Linked DNA regions of Danio rerio. The protein of the gene in region 3 binds, or shares a complex with, the protein of the main gene of each other region. Links are inferred from orthologs where the notes say so. Each region holds a gene or a part of one and is shown on either strand. Other genes may lie near its edges.

Region 1 (5,860 bases), on a different chromosome or scaffold from region 3:
TAGGCTAAATTGTCCGTAGTGTAAGTGTGAGAATGGGAGTGTATGAGTGTTTCCCAGTGATGGGTTGCGGCTGGAAGGCCATCCGCTGCGTAAAATGTGTGCTGGATAAGTTGCCGGTTCATTCCGCTGTGGCGACCCAAGATGACAAAAGGGACTAAGTCGGAAAAAAATAATAATAACAATGACATTATTCAACATTTATTCAAATGGCCGACTATCTTATCTAGGTGTTCTGGCACAAAATGGCAGGACAAAAAAAAAAGATAATTCACAGTTTAAAAAGCAACCCCCACTCCTATTGCACCAAGATAAAGCACAATGCTTGGCCCAGACAAGACCACCCCACACCCCCAACACTAACAGATCAGCCCAGCTAAATCTACTTCACCCCCACAGCCACCTCACACTGACCTAGTGTGCCAGGAAACTGTCCCATTTACTGACTCTGCAAGAAATTCACTCTAAAAACGACCTATGAATCTAAACTCAACTCCTACACTCTCAATAATAATTGTTCTTTGTTTCCATTTATGATTACATGAAGAAGATATTAATTTAAAGAAAGCTTTTCTTTTCACAAAGGGTGCTTTAAACGTTCTTGATATCTTTCAAATGTATGTGATTGTGAACGGCTCTTTTAGATTCACTGGTGATTAGTTGTGGTGTTTGCTAGTGAGGAAATATTTTTAAACAATTATGTAGTTTTCGATGTGCTTAAGAGATAGTTTCTCTGACTTATTTATATGTATTCAAGTGTGGGAGTTATTTAACTTGCTATGTTACAAAGTTTAAGTTTGGTGAACTCCCTACAAACTTACAGACCATTTCAATGTGGTCATGTTATTGGCCCATGAACATTTCCTACTTGCTATCAAACTATTTTATAACTGTAATAAGAGGCAATACAATCATATATCAATGGTAAACAGCTACCATAACATTATTTATCAATGTGTGGCTCTTTTTAGATTCTCAGAAGCTATGGAAAATTAAAATGTGAAACAGGAAATACATTGGGACCATTGTTTGAGTTTACATCCCTCAAAATGGTCTATATCGTATGAAGAGGTGTGACCAATAGAAGACTGACATGTCATGGTGCGATCATTTAGATCAAGGGTGTCCAAATTTAGTCCTGGAGGGCCGCTGTCTTACATATTTAAATTCCAACCCCGAATAAACATACCTGAACCAGCTAATCAAGCTCTTTCTAACTATACTAGAAACTTCCAGGAAGGTGTGTTGAAGCAAGTTGGAGCTAAGCTATGCAGGACATCGGCCCTCTAGGACCGAGTTTGGACATCCCTGATTTAGATGAACTGCAGCATCACAGTAAAGTGGAGTAGACTGCAAAATGTAATGTTTTGGATGTGCTAAATGTTGAATTTGTGCATTTAAATACATTGTGAGGTCAACATGCAGTGTTCTTCCTCCAGCTTTCAAAATGGCTTGTATTGTTATTTAAAAGAGAAGTGTAGCTGGAGTAAACTTTGTATGAATGAAAATGAAAGCATTAATAAATGACAAAATATTGTGCATAAACTAAATAAACCAGAAAGACTTAAGAAAAATTGAAAATAACAATAAAACTATTGGTGACCAGCTGACTGACTGAATGAGAGCAAAAAGATAGTGCATGTGTAAAAATAACGACAATTTTAGAATTAATTTCAAGACTAAACCAAAAGAAACAACAAAAATATTTTGTGAAGGAATTTACTGAACATTGAGAAGGATGCTTCAATGCACTTGCTCACTGTTGGCGTGTACATGTGATGGTATTTTATAATCAGATACAACCTCATGAAGAACACACTGTGTGTGAAGGTGTTAAAACAGCACTGGTAATTCATTCATCACACACAAATCATCATTAGCTGCAAGGTGACGAGTTTCTTTTGCCTATATTAAACTTTAATCTACACTAAAGCTACAATGAAGAAAAAATTAATACATAACTGTGTGCAATAAAAAGGTTTGACAGATGTATGGGGTTCTTGAGGAACTACAGACGGCAATAACATTTATTCTTGGAGTGAAGGAGAGTAAAATTCATTTATATGTGTGTTCTTTTATTTCTACAATCAAATATAAATTACTAAAAACTTAACAGAATTATTCTAAATATGCGAGTTTAAGGAGCTTGTTCATGATGGCACCTAGAGTCACTGAACAATTCTTTTTTCAAATGAATCAAACGACTCGACTCACTGAATCAAACGCGCCTCCGACACCTTCTTTGTATTTTCAAAGCATTATTTACATTTGCATGTTTATTAATAAAAATGTTACCTAGTTAATGTCCATTTATAATGCTGAAAAAACGCTCGACGAGTAGCACACACGTTTAAGCCTGCGGTCAGGGATTTCGCGGGAAGCAGTGGGGGGAACGGAAGCTCAAGGAGGGCATTCCCGAATTCCAACAACTACACTTCCGTTCCAAACTTTCTAATGCACCGTGCGCCTACCACCGTCAGGGTTAATGCATGTTTTGTCATCTATAATTACATTTTACAAAGTACACTCCATTATCATACTCATTTTTATCAGTTAAATCACACATTTCGCTACTTTACCGAACATTAAAGACAAAAACATTATGCAATGCTTTAAAAACAAAGTTGCTTCATTACAAGATCCATATGCAGAACGAAAAGCGACGCATTTTAGCGAATAAGCAAAACTATGCACCTTTAATAAACACCATGCAAAAGAAAACAATTTAAACATCACGTCGCCTGTTTGTAAACCCAAAGCATGATGCAACGAGGAGAAATATGTCCACTTTTAATTTTCTTAAACTAAGGTTCAGGTTTATAACGTTACTCGTGCTGAATGCACAGATCAACTCTAGAAGTTCACACAGTTAACGTTAAATAAAGAACCGGATGGTAAACAGAAGCGCTTAGCTGTCTCACAAACAGCAGCACTGTGCCCATGTGTGAGCATGAACCGCTGCTGGCCTCCATTGCTGAACACGCGAGGGTTCCTGACGGCCTTGGCGCCAAACTCGAGCCGCCCTACATGACGAACCCTCTCCAGTCACTACAATCCCCTCTGTGCTGACATATTACCACTGACTGTGCGTATATAACCGCGTTCAGTGCGCGTTCGCAATGTTTAACCTAAACATAATTATATCGCTGATACCAACACTGTCCTAGTTGAATAATGAGGACGTAAAACGCTTCTCGGAGGAATGGTAGGAGGCAGCAGGCCCCTCAGCCTGGAGAACTGGCACACTGAGCCCTGTGTGAAGACACGAGCAGTATTGTTCGAGATGCACCCTTACCTAACATCCAAAAATGCTGTGCTTCAGGACGATCGTGAGCGCCGATAGACTCCGCAAGGCTGTCTTCAAGTCAGCAGCGCTGAGGTGCAGTAAATACCGGTGTTTTCCGTATTTTTCTGGTTTCTGTCCCACTGTCAATATCCCAAAAGCAGAAATCACCCTCTTCACCACGACACAACAGCTCTATTGTACTACCCAAACGCTGGGTCCTAGAGCCCGCCCCGTTCACGGCCCCACTGCTTGCCCAGCCAGGGGAAGCAGATTTCTTTTCAGGGGTAGTTAAATGTCCCCTTACAGTGCTGTGATGGAGGTAACGTTAGAATTTAGATTAAAGTCACAGTATTTTAGCTAAATTAGTATTTATTACGATATAATACAGCACTTTTTCTCATAAAGGGCCCAAAACTATACTTGATTGAGGGCTGTGGGCAGAAGATAAATATAGCAAACAGTTAAGGTCAACATGGGTATTTTCCTAATTTATATTCCTAATATATATATATATATATATATATATATATATATATATATATATATATATATATATATATATATATATATAAATAGAAAACATTGCTTTATATTAACTAATGCAGTATAATTTAAAAGATAATATATATAAATATAATGAACGTATTACAGTAAAAACAATTCCATTGATTACACAATGGAGTTCAATGGCAAATAACAACACAAGTCAAGCTTTTGCATCAATTTGCCCACAATGTGCATTGTCCTCTATTCAACAAGAGACAGTATTTACATTATTATAAACCTGATTCCTTGTCAACATTTAATTTAAATGCTTAATTTTAAATTGCTATAAAACAGACAAAAAGATTACTTTAAATTTAAAATGACAATCTCTGTAAAAAATATTCTCTTCAATGCTCCTCATCATTCTCTTTTCAGATGAGATGGTAGGCCAAATAAAAGCTGTCATGAGTATATGGGTAAAATATATATATATATATATATATATATATATATATATATATATATATATATATATATATAGTGTATAATACAACGCTACATTGGTGAACTGTCATTCACCAAAGAAACCTACTTAAAGAAAAGAAAATATTTTTCTACCAAACAAACTTGTCAGTCATATTTAGAATAAAAATAATTTGAATACATTTAAATACATTATTTCACCTATATTTTTTATATCACATAAATCACAAAATTGGTTTGAAACGCATTTAATGCATCTCATTTTGACTCATTTTGCAATATATACCAAAGCAAACATTCCATGGAATTTACTAAAATAAATGTATTATACACATAGCTTTATATAACATAACACTTCTTGTTTTTAGCACGGTAGAAAACTGATTTAATGATTAATATTGTGCATTTTTAAGATTCTTTTATAACCAGCAAGGTAAAAATCTGTCCTACCAGAATTAAACTATTAATTTCAACCTGTCCCCTGATGTTTATATTGGACCCCTGAAGAAAATACAACTTTTTTGTGCTCAACAAATCAGACAACTACTCTAACTCTTTTTGTTTTTTTTAAACATGATATTTGAATACTTTTTACTGACAGAAAGAGATTATTATTAAAGAAATTATTATAAAAGCAATGCGGTCAAAATTCAGAACCACAACATTTCACAACACCACTTACAGTTACTCACAATCTCTTTCTCTGAGCAAATATGTACTCAACTAACAAAACTATTCACTAGTTGGCATTTGTCGTAATACATTCACATTTAGTGTTGTGCTTATTTGCATGTGGAAAAAAGATGAGACAACTTTCGATCAGTATGATTGTATTGACAAATCACAGTTATTATTCATCCCTAAAAAACTGTCTTGTACAAATAGGAACATTTAGAAGAAAAAAAAAAAAATCACTATTTTTTCTTTTGAAGTGTACAAATGATTCTGGTCACAGAAAAGTTGTTGTGCTCTTTAAAATGATCCTAGAAAAATAGAACAATGTAAAGGAGACGATTAATGCTCCTGTTTAGTAGTACATTCGACCTATCAGTTTCAGCATTTACATTCTTTTCAGAACAGTGCTACTGTAAAAACTTATACAATAAAAACAGATGTCATTTGAAAAACAAGACAATACTGAAAAAAACATACAAATAAAAAGCTATGCTAACTGTAAAATAAAATACATTTATATCGGTCATATAAAAAAATCTAATTCAATACAATTCATGTTTTTAGGCATGTGACAAAATCTGAACAATATTGTTTTTACATCTAACAAATATACACAGGCATGATGACTATACACTAAGTAAAGGAGACGTACTGTATACAGCCAAGACAGAGTAAAACAATTTCCAGCTATACATTTATGAAAAAAAAGGAAATTCAATAAATATCTATATAATCAAATTCATTATTTTCAGCATAAGCGATGAAATTGTCCACAGCAATGTTTGATTAGACTTTAGTTCTAGTACTCTATCTAAAGGCACTTGCCTTCTTGATTGGATCCAAATAAACTCGCTGACAATATGTCAATATAATCAACATGAAAATGTCAAATTGTCAGATCCACCCTAGAACAATTTTCTGTTTTTTTTCTGG
Region 2 (5,893 bases), on a different chromosome or scaffold from region 3:
ACTTCATGGCTGTGATAAAGTCTGTCCGAAACACCTGAAAGAAGAACACAACTCAAGCACATCTATCTTGTTTCCACTGAATGATTTCTGAAGTAGGCGATACGGTGGCGCAGTAGGTAGTGCTGTCGCCTCACAGCAAGAAGGTCGCTGGTTTGAGCCTCGGCTGGGTCAGTTGGCGTTTCTGTGTGGAGTTTGCATGCTCTCCCTCATTCCACAGCGGAATGAACTGCCAACTTATCCAGCATATGTTTTGCACAGTGGATGCCCTTCCAGCTGCAACCCATCTCTGGAAAACATCCACACACACTCATTCACACACCTACACTATAGACAATTTAGCTCACCCAATTCCCCTATAGCGCATGTGTTTGGGAAACCGGAGCACCCGGAGGAAATCCACGCCAACACGGGGAGAACATGCAAACTCCACACAGAAACACCAACTGACCCATCCGAGGCTCAAACCAGAGACCTTTTTGCTGTGAGGCAACAGCACTGCCTACTGCGCCACCGCTTCATATGTGTTTTATACTCTAAATATTAAACACTTTCAGGAACTGAAGATGCTGATGAGCGTTAAACGCTTCATGTCCATTAATTTAAGAACTGCTGCTGTCTTTCTGGCGATCTGATTGGCCGGTTCTCACCTCAGACGGCCTCTTCTGCTCATGACGGACCCACGTGCTGCTGGTGCCAGTGTTCTTAGAGGAGCGGGACCAGGTGGTCACCTGACCTGCAGAAACACACAGGTACCATTCTCGCTTTAGAGGAGTGTGTGTGCGTGTGCTTGTCCTTGTGTGTGATCAATGTGTGCGTGTGTGTGTGTGTGTGTTTGTCAGTGTGTATCTGTGTCTGCTTGTCCGTGTGTCTCTTGTGTCTCTTGTGTGATCAGTGCGTGTGTGTGTTTGTGTATGTGTGTGTGTGTGTGTGTGTGTGTGTGTGTGCTTGTCTGTGTGTATCTGTGTGTGTGCGTGTAGGTGCTTGTGTTTTTTTGTGCTTATGTTTGAGCGTGTGTGTCTGTGTGTGTGTGTGTGTGTGTGTGTGTGTGTGTGTGTGTGTGTCAGCATTACTCACTGTCAGTGGTGTCAGAGTCGTTGCTGCTGGTGGAGTATTTCCTCCTCTTCATCTCACTCTCCATCTGTCAGGACAAGAGGATCACACTCATGAACGTGTGTGTGTGTGTGTGTGTGTTGATAGCTTTACTGGAAACAGTGTGACAGCAGGAAATAGTTCACCCAATTTTGACAGATTGATGTGTGCACTAGATTTATATTCATTCATTCATTTTCTTTTCAGATTAGTCCCTTTATTCATCAGGGGTCGCCACAGCGGAATGAACCGCCAACTTATCCAGCACATGTTTTACACAGCGGATTCACTTACAGCTGCAACCCATCTCTGTGAAACACCCAGACACACTGTCTGCTGCATGTGTTTGGACTGTGGGGGAAACCGAAGCACCCAGAGGAAACCCATGATAACACATGGAGAACATGCAAACTCCACACAGAAACACCAACTGACCCAGTCGGGGCTCGAACCCACATCCTTCTTGTTGTGAGGCAACAGCATTACCTACTGCGCCACTGCATCGCCACTAGATTTATATGTGTAAAATAATAGTCTAAAATACACAAGCACTCTTATTTTGAAATGTGTCTGCTTTGCTGTTGCTGGCTGCTCATTTAAAGCAAACCTGCAGCAGACAGATGCTCAAGACAGTTCTGGAGGGAATAATAATAGTAGAATAATAGTGAAGCATTATGATGACGGACAGACACACACTCACAGACTCACACACACACACACTCACGCACACACACAAACACACTCATTCATTCATTTTGAGGGGCATTTTTTCCTCCTTGAGAAAAAAGATCAGGTGCTCAAGCACACAGAGCCCCACCTGTGCACATTCCTGAAGACTCTTCTCATTTACTTTCATTGAATAAAAAATGCACATTTCAAAACAATTCACAGGACTTTTAAAGTTCTCATAAACCAGAAGCTGCAATCATTTTTCGCATTGTGAAGCAATTCCTAGACAAACTGAATATTAAATGAGAAAATAGTGGGCGTGGCTTGATTTTTATACTGCGACCTGATTGGCTGTAGTAAAGGATTTGGGGAGAGTTATTACAACCTAACAGACTCCTCCTCCTCACCATTTCCGTTGCCAAAACTGACCGCTGGGGGCGTGGTTAAGTATGCAAGCCCCGCCCGATACCTCAAACAGACCTAATCTTAGAATTTAACTGAAAACAAACAGGTAGTGCATTTGCATATTTCAATTTTAGATTACATGTTTTTCTTAATGACATGCAGATGAATTGTTCACCCAAAGACTAGCAATGTGAGCTAACAAAATAATTATGGTTAGTTTTGTTTTCAGTGTGGCTCACAAACATTTAAAGACAAAATAATAATAATAAAAATAATAATAATAATAATAATAATAATGTAAAAAATACTACACGTTTTCTAGACCACGCCCCGTGTGTGTGACGTCAAGCCGCCGTGTGCAGCTGAAGGGGGCGTGGTCGCTGACCTGCAGGGCTTGTTTGTGAAGCGCGTTTAGGCCACTCGCTCACTCCAAGCTGAGAAGTTGAGCAGCAGCAGCAGCAGTACTCCACACAGACTGAAGAGTTCAGCAAACAAATAAACCGCGAACGAGCCCGTACAAGCAGACAGAATTCAGGCAGCAAACGACCGACATGAGCATGAAACAACGGTCAAAAACTGCAGAAAAGGCACATTTTTTCGGCTTTACCTCTTCTGCGGAGAGAGGGTGTGATGGTGATGATGAAGATGATGATGGTGTCCTCGCAGAGATCAGAGGATCATCCGAGGCCACGCACCCTCCTCGGCCCCGATAAAAGTTACTGTGTGCGGCTGAGATGCCCGAGCCGACGGCATATTACAGCCGTCCTAAAACTGCCGCTTCAGAAAACAGCACAGCACGCTTCGTCATCCGCAAAACTGTTTCTGGTGTCCTCACATCCTGCGAAGTGAAGCTGTCGACACACAAGCGCGCTCCTCTTCACATTCTGCGTGTATTCCTGCGCGAAACACCAGCTCACACTTACAACTCTTTTGGCGCCATATTAATGACGTACCAAAAAATTTCCGTTAGCAGCGGGCGCAGGAGCCGAGCGTTGCGAGCGAGCGTCACGCACGGCGAGCGGGGGGAAACGGGCGAAAAAGCGCGTTGCGTTTACCTGTCAAGTTTGAAAATGTCCATCAAGACGCGAGCGTGAAGAAGAAAGTCTCCTCAAGCGAGCGCGCGGGGCGGTTCGCGAAAATAATCGACCATTTTACTGTGAATCCGATGGGGGGAGCCATGAACAAACAGCCGAGAGGAGGAAACACAACAAACATCCTCACTGTCAGCGCTGTTCCGGATCTCTCACACACACACACACACACACACCATCAGCGTCTCCAGATATGGCCATCTACAGTGTTTTAGAACCATACTGTAGTAAAGTGTGTATATTATAGTATTACAGCTCTGTTAATGAACGCTCCTGCATACTGTAGCATAGTGAACTGATAGACTACTGTATACTGTATAGTTTTACTACACCTTACCCACACTACAGCTGCTGAGAAAACTACTGTATTAGGTCATTTGTTTATAATACTATAGTTATCATAGCAACTAGATAGGAATCATCACAGTGTTTAGTTCAAACACTTTAGCTGTTCAAAAATATAGTTTTTAAACTATGAAACACTGGTCTATTTTTACATTAGGGATGGTTTAAATATTATTTACAACCCTTTGTTAAATGAATGTTCCAGCATACTGTATTAGTTACCTGATTACTGCAGTAAACTGGTGTATTGTAGTTTATAGTTGGGTTGTTGCTAGATGAGATTCAGATATCGCTGAAAGATCAGGAGAATTAAATTATTAAACTGCCCAGTTAATGTAACTTTTAAAGTCTACCCCAATCCTCACAGTCATGTAAAATTATGAAATATTGTACAGTGTCACAGAGAAGATTCTATATTGATGTGTGTATCTGCAGCTGTATCCCTTCTATTCTCCACCCTATAGTTGTAGTAAACTACAGTGTTTACTATAGTTGTGTTAACCACTACAGCAGATCAACTCAAGTGCTTTACTGTAGTGTGCTATTTTTGATATTTGGGATGTTTTAGACTTCTGCTTTTACAGATTAATATGTTTTCCTGGGTTTGTAAACTTTCAACATTTAGCACACTATAGGTATACGTCAATACAATACTATAGTACGTTATAGTAAACGCTGATGTTTATGAACCATACTGTAGTAAAGTGTGTATATTATATTATTTACAACTTTGCTATTGAATGCTCCAGCATACTGTAGTATTGACTAGTAACCTGTGGTGTTTATTATAGTTGCTGATAACTACAGTATTGGGTCATTTGTTCATGTGATCATAGTTGTGTTTTTATAGACTGATGACTGAGAAATGCGAGCTCTTCACTGTAGTATGCTTCAAATACACCAGTTTAAGGCCATTTTTACAGCTTAATTTTTTCTGGGTTTGTGGACATTTTACACATTTTGTATTTAAGTAAGTTTTATTTATATACACAGTTGAAGTCAGAATTATTAGACCGCTTGTTTATTTTTTCCCCCAATTTCTGATAAATGGAGAGCAGATTTCTCCAACACATTTCTAATCATAATGATGTTAATAACTCATCTCTTATAGCTGATTTATTTTCTCTCTGTCATGATGACAGTAAATAATATTAGACTAGATATTCTTCTAGACACTAGTGTTCAGCTTAAAGTGACATGTAAAGGCTTCGCTATAGGGTAACTGGGCAGGTTAGGGTAATTAGGCAAGTCATTGTAGAACGATGGTTCAAAAAAAATCTTAAAGAGGCTAATAATTTTGTCCTTAAAATGTAAAAAAAAAATTAAAAACTGCTTTTATTCTCGCTGGAATAAAATAAATCAGACTTTCTCCAAAAGAACAAATATTATCAGACATACTGTGAACATTTCCTGAATCTGTTCAACATCATTTGAAAAATATTTAAGGAAGAAAAAAATCTTAGGGGGCGAATAATTCTGACATTAACTATTGCATTTATACACATTTATTTATTTCTGATTAATCAATACTGTTAGAATCCCAAAAGCGAAATAAAGAGTTGCCAGTCTATATGGGTTTTTGCAGGGTATGTGTTGATTGATGAACTGATGGTCTTTCTGTTTGCTATCTCTTATTTGAAGTGAGCCCTGTGGGTTTCCCTACATATCTTAAGTTTAATGGTGAATGTTTCTACATTACAAAAAACATTTTCTTATAGAGTTACTCAGAGTTTTCTCTTGTTTCTAGTTCAAATATCTGAGAAATTTTAATTCTCAAGCTTGCCTGAGGACATTTTTGAACAATATGTCAAACAAAAATAAAAAATGCAGATAAAACATAACTTAATGAAGGTTTGAGCCTATAACATCCTCAATGTGTCAACCAAACACACACACACGCGCACACACACACACACACACACACACACAGATCTAATGAGTACTACAGTCAATAGTGTCACTGATACTTTCATAAAAATGTTATTTTATTTCCCTCATCACCCACCAGATATCCCTAAAGTCGCCCCATTTTTAGATTTTAAACCGACTGCAGTGACCTTTATGCTGAAGTAAAACTAAGAATAATCCATAAGCATATTTTCATAAACATCAGACTGGTCTAAAACTTGAGCAAACACTCAAAGAAGACCTGATTCAACAGTTAGGTCCAACTTAAAACTAACTAAAAACAAACTTTTTGTTTGTCCAATAAATCTAACACAACACAGATAACAATGTACTTAAATAAATGTCTGAGGCTGTACACACACACACCACACACACACACACACACA
Region 3 (5,417 bases):
CGATTAATGAGCGGTGGTTGTCGGTTAGCAAAATTAACGAAATGAGCATCCCTAGTAGCCATTTAATTTACTTTTTCTATGTAAGAGAACTTGATTGAAAAAGAATTTTCAACATGCTTGAACCATCTACACAATGGAGTTCAGTTCTGTTTGGTTTTACAACAGTATTTTGTTACAAAGAAAACAGAAGTGATAGTTTTATCTATTTATTTATTTTATATATGGCTATTTATATTGTTAATAATTTGCATAGTTAATATTGTTCTTTGATGTTTAGTTTATAAAGATTTTTCAAATGTTATTTAATAAAAAATAGTTTTAAAAATCTTTTTTTTCCCACCCCACACGAGAAAAAAAAAAAAAAAATCGTGATACGAACCGAATCGTGGGTTTGGTGTATCGTTACAGCCCTATCAAAAACCATAAAAAAATAAATAAAAAAACAATCCAGCATGCTTCATAATAACTTCAGAAATATAATAACATTAATTATATACACAGAAATAAAATTAAACATGCTTTTTTTAAGGTAATAAAGCCTTATAGCTTCAGGAAAAAGGGTAAATTTATATCTATTAGATGAACAACTGATGATTCTGAACCTTCTTCCAATAAAACTCTCCTATAAAACTATGAATGTTCCTAAGCATTTAGGAGTTACTTACTTCTGCTGGACGCAAAAGCTATTTAAATTAGTATGTAGGAAACAGGTAACCATTGACATCTACAGTATAGTATGAAAACAATTCATATAAATGTTAATAGCAAATGGTTACCGACATTCTTCAAATTGTCTTTGTGTTAAACAGAAGGAAGAAACTCAAACAGCTTTGAATAAGTGCACAGTGAGCGAGCGGAATAGTTATTGCTGCTGAATCAAAAAGTGTTATAATCTACACATTACATAGCTACATTGTATAACATAATTTATTCAGGTCAGTTTTGAATCTGAATTATTATTTTTTTTGCTTTGTGGTTAATAAAAATATCCGTAAACGGAGCAACAACATCATAAACATTCAACAATTTTCATTTCATTTTTCTCATTAATGAGAGGTTGCAGACCAGACAGAATATGATTTTAGTGAAATGCATTATGCAAAAATAAATTATAAGGGTTAATTAAATGGTTTATTTTTGTATTTCGTTTACAATTTGACAGGAAGTCAAGTTTTCTGATCAGCTGGTCTGCATTGTCAGAAAATTGTGTGAAGCGTGAGGTATTTCGGTTCATACCAGATCCTCTGATGCACGAGCCTGAGCTTTTCTGAAGAGCTCCAGATCATAATCACTGGTGATGTTCTCCAGCAATGGTTCGCGAGTGGTTCCATGCGTTTGTCTGTGCTCCTGATACAAATTAAAGATGTGAATGAATAACAAACATAAGCATCAACAACAATACAGTTTAAAAGACATAGTTCACCCAAAACTGTACATTTCATCATCATTCACTTGTCACAAACCTGTGTGAATTTCTTTCTTCTGTTGAACACAACATATATTTAGAAAAAAAAAAAAAAAACAGTAACCATTAACTTCCATAGTAGCAAAAACAAATACTATGGAAGACAATGGTTACAGGTTTTCAGCGTTATTCAAAGTATTTTCTTTTGTGTCATTAAGGTTAGAAAACACTCTAGGAAACAGTAGCTGCTTTTCTATCGACTAGTGGTGTAGTATATATCACAAATCTCATGGTTCGGATCACATTATCTTTTTTTTAGCCATGGATTGGACCATTTTTCGGATCATTCAAAACGGAGAAGACACAAATGTAATTTCCTTTCCATTTTTTCATTTTTTTTAACAAAAACAGTACTGCAAGACACTTTTGGTTTTAAAAAACAAAAAGTAGAACCAGTAAGTATGCTAAAAATATAACGCAGAAATAATCAGCTGAATTAAAATAAATTGTAAAATATTACTGTACTGTGAAAAATTCAGTGTTTCCACCACATGCTGATAACACAATGTATAAATCTAACATTATAGCTTGTACAACTCATACTTATTTTTAATCTCATTTTCGATAAATGATTCAGTTATTCACCTATAAAACTTTTTCATGCATCACTTTTGAAGAATTATCCAGTGGCTTATTTTGATGGCTGGTTGTCGCCACCTATTGTTCAAATAATGTGATTGCTGCCTACAACTTTAATTTTTGAGCGTCAAGTTAAATGCATATGATGGCGATTTTAATCTTTACCATAATCATCAGTGGTTTTATCTAAACTATAACTGTTCTCCCAATATTTCTGTTATTTGACTGGTCATAACTAACTCAAAAGACTAAGGACTGAATCTCTTTCTTGATTTTAGAATTTTTCAAACACATTTGAATGCAGCGAGTCAAAGGATTAATAAACATGCAAATCACCATCATTTATAATTTATGTTAATGATTAATCAATGCTGAATGCATTAATGCAGGCTAAACAAGCAGTGACAGAAGACACTTTTAATAACCTAAAAAACCCACCACACACAAATAACCTCCCACAACTTCTTCTGTCATCATTATATTTTACAGGAAACATAAATCCTTTCATACACGCGATTTGAATGATGCGAGATGTGATCTCTCCGCGATTGTTACATATTTAGAATTTAATCTACAGTGTTCCATGGGTTGTGATCCGTACGAATCAGCTATGATTTCTTACACCCCTACCATCCACTTATGTTTATGCACATTTTTGATTATCGCATAAAAACCCTGGATGGAAACAACAAGATGCGCATAAATTTTGAAAATGAGAAACAAACTTTTTATCCCATAAGAAAAAAACTTGCATAAACTACGATGGAAATTATGAAGGGCATTTACCGAATTAATTCCAGCATCAAAAAAAGTCACGTAATTTTGCCTCAACAGATCATGTGATAACAAAAATGAGTTGCAGATATAAAAAGGGGGGGTGCGCAAATTTTCCAAGCAGTGCGAGCGGAGAAGATTCTAAAAGAATGTGACAAATCGTGGACTATTTTGCGTAATAAACGAAAGAGCCTTAAGCAAAACTACATGGCTGTTAACTTGTTTTTACTATTTGGCGCCAGTTTATCAGGAAGTGACTATTTTGTCTTAGATGGAAACGGTGATGTAATCACAATTGTTTTATTCGATAGTCCAGTTTTGCACATTTAATTCACATCTTTGGATGAAAACATGGCTAATAATAACATTTCTGGGTGAACCATCTCTTTAATAATAATGGCATTAATATATTACCAATATTTGCTCTTGCACTCATGACAGTTCTGAGACATTCAATGCAAAAGTATGAGCTGTTGTTGTTAAAATGTAGTGAAATTCATTTATATATATATATTTTTTTTTTAAATATTATTGTTCATGCTGTGAAGTTTTCATGATGTGTAATGTATGAAATAATCACACTTACATGTATACACAGATGCACTCTGAAATATATTTCAGTAATCACAAAAAAAAAAAAAACACACAATTACCATGTACTTTTCCTTTTGGTCTTTACTCAGCCCAGAATCTCTCCTCTTCCTCATCTCAATGACTTTCTCTTTATATCGGACCTGTCTTGGAGTTGGTGCCTGTGGAAAACCAGGTCAAATGACTACTACATCACACTTTTTACTGCTTCATGCAGATAAAACTCTTTCAAGGTCAGCTCATCAGCCACACATGCACTGTAGTCACCGCAGGATTTATAGCTAGCAAACAATCACAACCCATCCTAAAAATAAAAAGCACCCAGCTGATGGCGTTAGGCGTTCAAGCAAACATCTCGCTTTAGTACAAAAGCATGCATGCACTTAAGAGACATTAACACACTTGTGCGATGTTTGTTTAGTGTTAAGAGAACATCTGTTTGGCGAGTACCTGATGTCGAGTAGCGTGCCTGTTCTCCTCGTTCTGCCCCTGACTGCGCTCTTCATCTTGTTTCTCACGCTCGATAGCCTTCACCTGATCGAGACCACACGAAGCACACAAAGATAAACAATAGGGAAGAGTTTAACAATTCAGAATAGGACAAAGTAACGCTTTTTGAAATTTAGGGGGCAACCAAAATGGTGTTTTAAATATTTTCAAACTCATATAAAAGGGTGCCAAAAGTACAATTTTAGGTGAGCCACTGCAGGCAAAGACACTTTTTTTTAAAAAACACCCGTAAATGACTGAGATTATGTATTTTTGAACCTAGTGTGCAGATTTTTATGTGTCTTTTATCACACTTGTATCTGCAATTACAATAAATATTTTTGTAAAATTATATTGTTTCACAAATTGATTTTTTTTCTCACAAAAATGAGTCAAATCTTCACTTATACTTTACAGTATTATTCATATATATATATATATATATATATATATATATATATATATATATATATATATATATATATATATATATATATATATATATATATATATATATATATATATATGACATATATATATATGTTTCCTGAAAGGTTTTACAGAGGGGTACTTTTATACATAATATGCTTGATTATATAAAACTGCTTTAAATATAAATAAAAGAAATTCGAAGAACAAACATTCTTTGGGTGTTTGAAGTATTTTATGAAATATGAAATGATAATATATACCCAAAATCGCTAAAATACTTTTGACTTCAATGCCAAAAAAGAAACAATTTTGCCTGAGTTTCTTTCCAGTATTATTTATATATTTGTTTTCTGAAAGATTTTTTAGAACTATGTTCATACATTATTAACTTGATTATATAAAATTTTTTTCAACAAAGAATTTTTACAATTTAAAAAAAAAAAATCCTGAATTATAAAATTATTAAAATTTATACCCAAAATCCCCAAAAAACTTTTGACTCTCATTCCAAAAAAATTATTATACCCCACTCTACAGTATTATTTATATATTTATTTATATATATATATATATATATATATATATATATATATATATATATATATATATATATATTTATTTATTTATATATATATATATATATATATATATATATATATATATATATATATATATATATATATATATATATATATATATATATATATATATATATATATACACACATACATGTTTTCTGAAAGATTTTACAAAGGTGTATAATCCTCCGTAATTCACTTGATTAAAACATTATTCAACAAAGAAACTTGAAAAACTTAAAATAAACTATTTGAGTGTTTGAAGTATTTTCTAAATTATAAAATGATCAAAAAATATACCAAAAGTTCTCTTAAAACTTTGACTCTAATGCCAATAAAAAGAAACAATAATTTTGACCCTGACTCTACAGTATTATTCAAATATTTTATTTTTGAAAGGTATGTTCATACATAAATTGCTGGTTTCTACAAAAAGGGTTTTTCGACAAATAAATTTGAAGATAAATGTTTTTTTTTTGGGTGTTTGAAGTATTTTATGAAATATGAAA

What was found.
Region 1: kat7b (region 3) and jade3 share a complex: the UniProt entries of both Homo sapiens proteins name them as parts of the HBO1 complex. The link is inferred for Danio rerio from reciprocal best matches to the Homo sapiens genes KAT7 and JADE3.
Region 2: kat7b (region 3) and jade2 share a complex: the UniProt entries of both Homo sapiens proteins name them as parts of the HBO1 complex. The link is inferred for Danio rerio from reciprocal best matches to the Homo sapiens genes KAT7 and JADE2.

The regions. Positions count from the first base shown.
Region 1 is NC_133181.1:40,067,714-40,073,573, forward strand, and holds the start of jade3 (protein Jade-3), read right to left. Parts: upstream 3,432-5,860; 5' UTR 3,293-3,431; intron 1-3,292. UniProt on the Homo sapiens protein: Scaffold subunit of some HBO1 complexes, which have a histone H4 acetyltransferase activity.
Region 2 is NC_133196.1:49,539,609-49,545,501, reverse strand, and holds the start of jade2 (E3 ubiquitin-protein ligase Jade-2), read right to left. Parts: upstream 3,432-5,893; 5' UTR 2,771-3,431; intron 1,139-2,770; coding exon 1,075-1,138; intron 734-1,074; coding exon 648-733; intron 35-647; coding exon 1-34. UniProt on the Homo sapiens protein: Scaffold subunit of some HBO1 complexes, which have a histone H4 acetyltransferase activity. Acts as an E3 ubiquitin-protein ligase mediating the ubiquitination and subsequent proteasomal degradation of target protein histone demethylase KDM1A.
Region 3 is NC_133187.1:6,539,720-6,545,136, forward strand, and holds part of kat7b (histone acetyltransferase KAT7), read right to left. Parts: intron 3,944-5,417; coding exon 3,860-3,943; intron 3,571-3,859; coding exon 3,472-3,570; intron 1,348-3,471; coding exon 1,237-1,347; intron 1-1,236. UniProt on the Homo sapiens protein: Catalytic subunit of histone acetyltransferase HBO1 complexes, which specifically mediate acetylation of histone H3 at 'Lys-14' (H3K14ac), thereby regulating various processes, such as gene transcription, protein ubiquitination, immune regulation, stem cell pluripotent and self-renewal maintenance and embryonic development.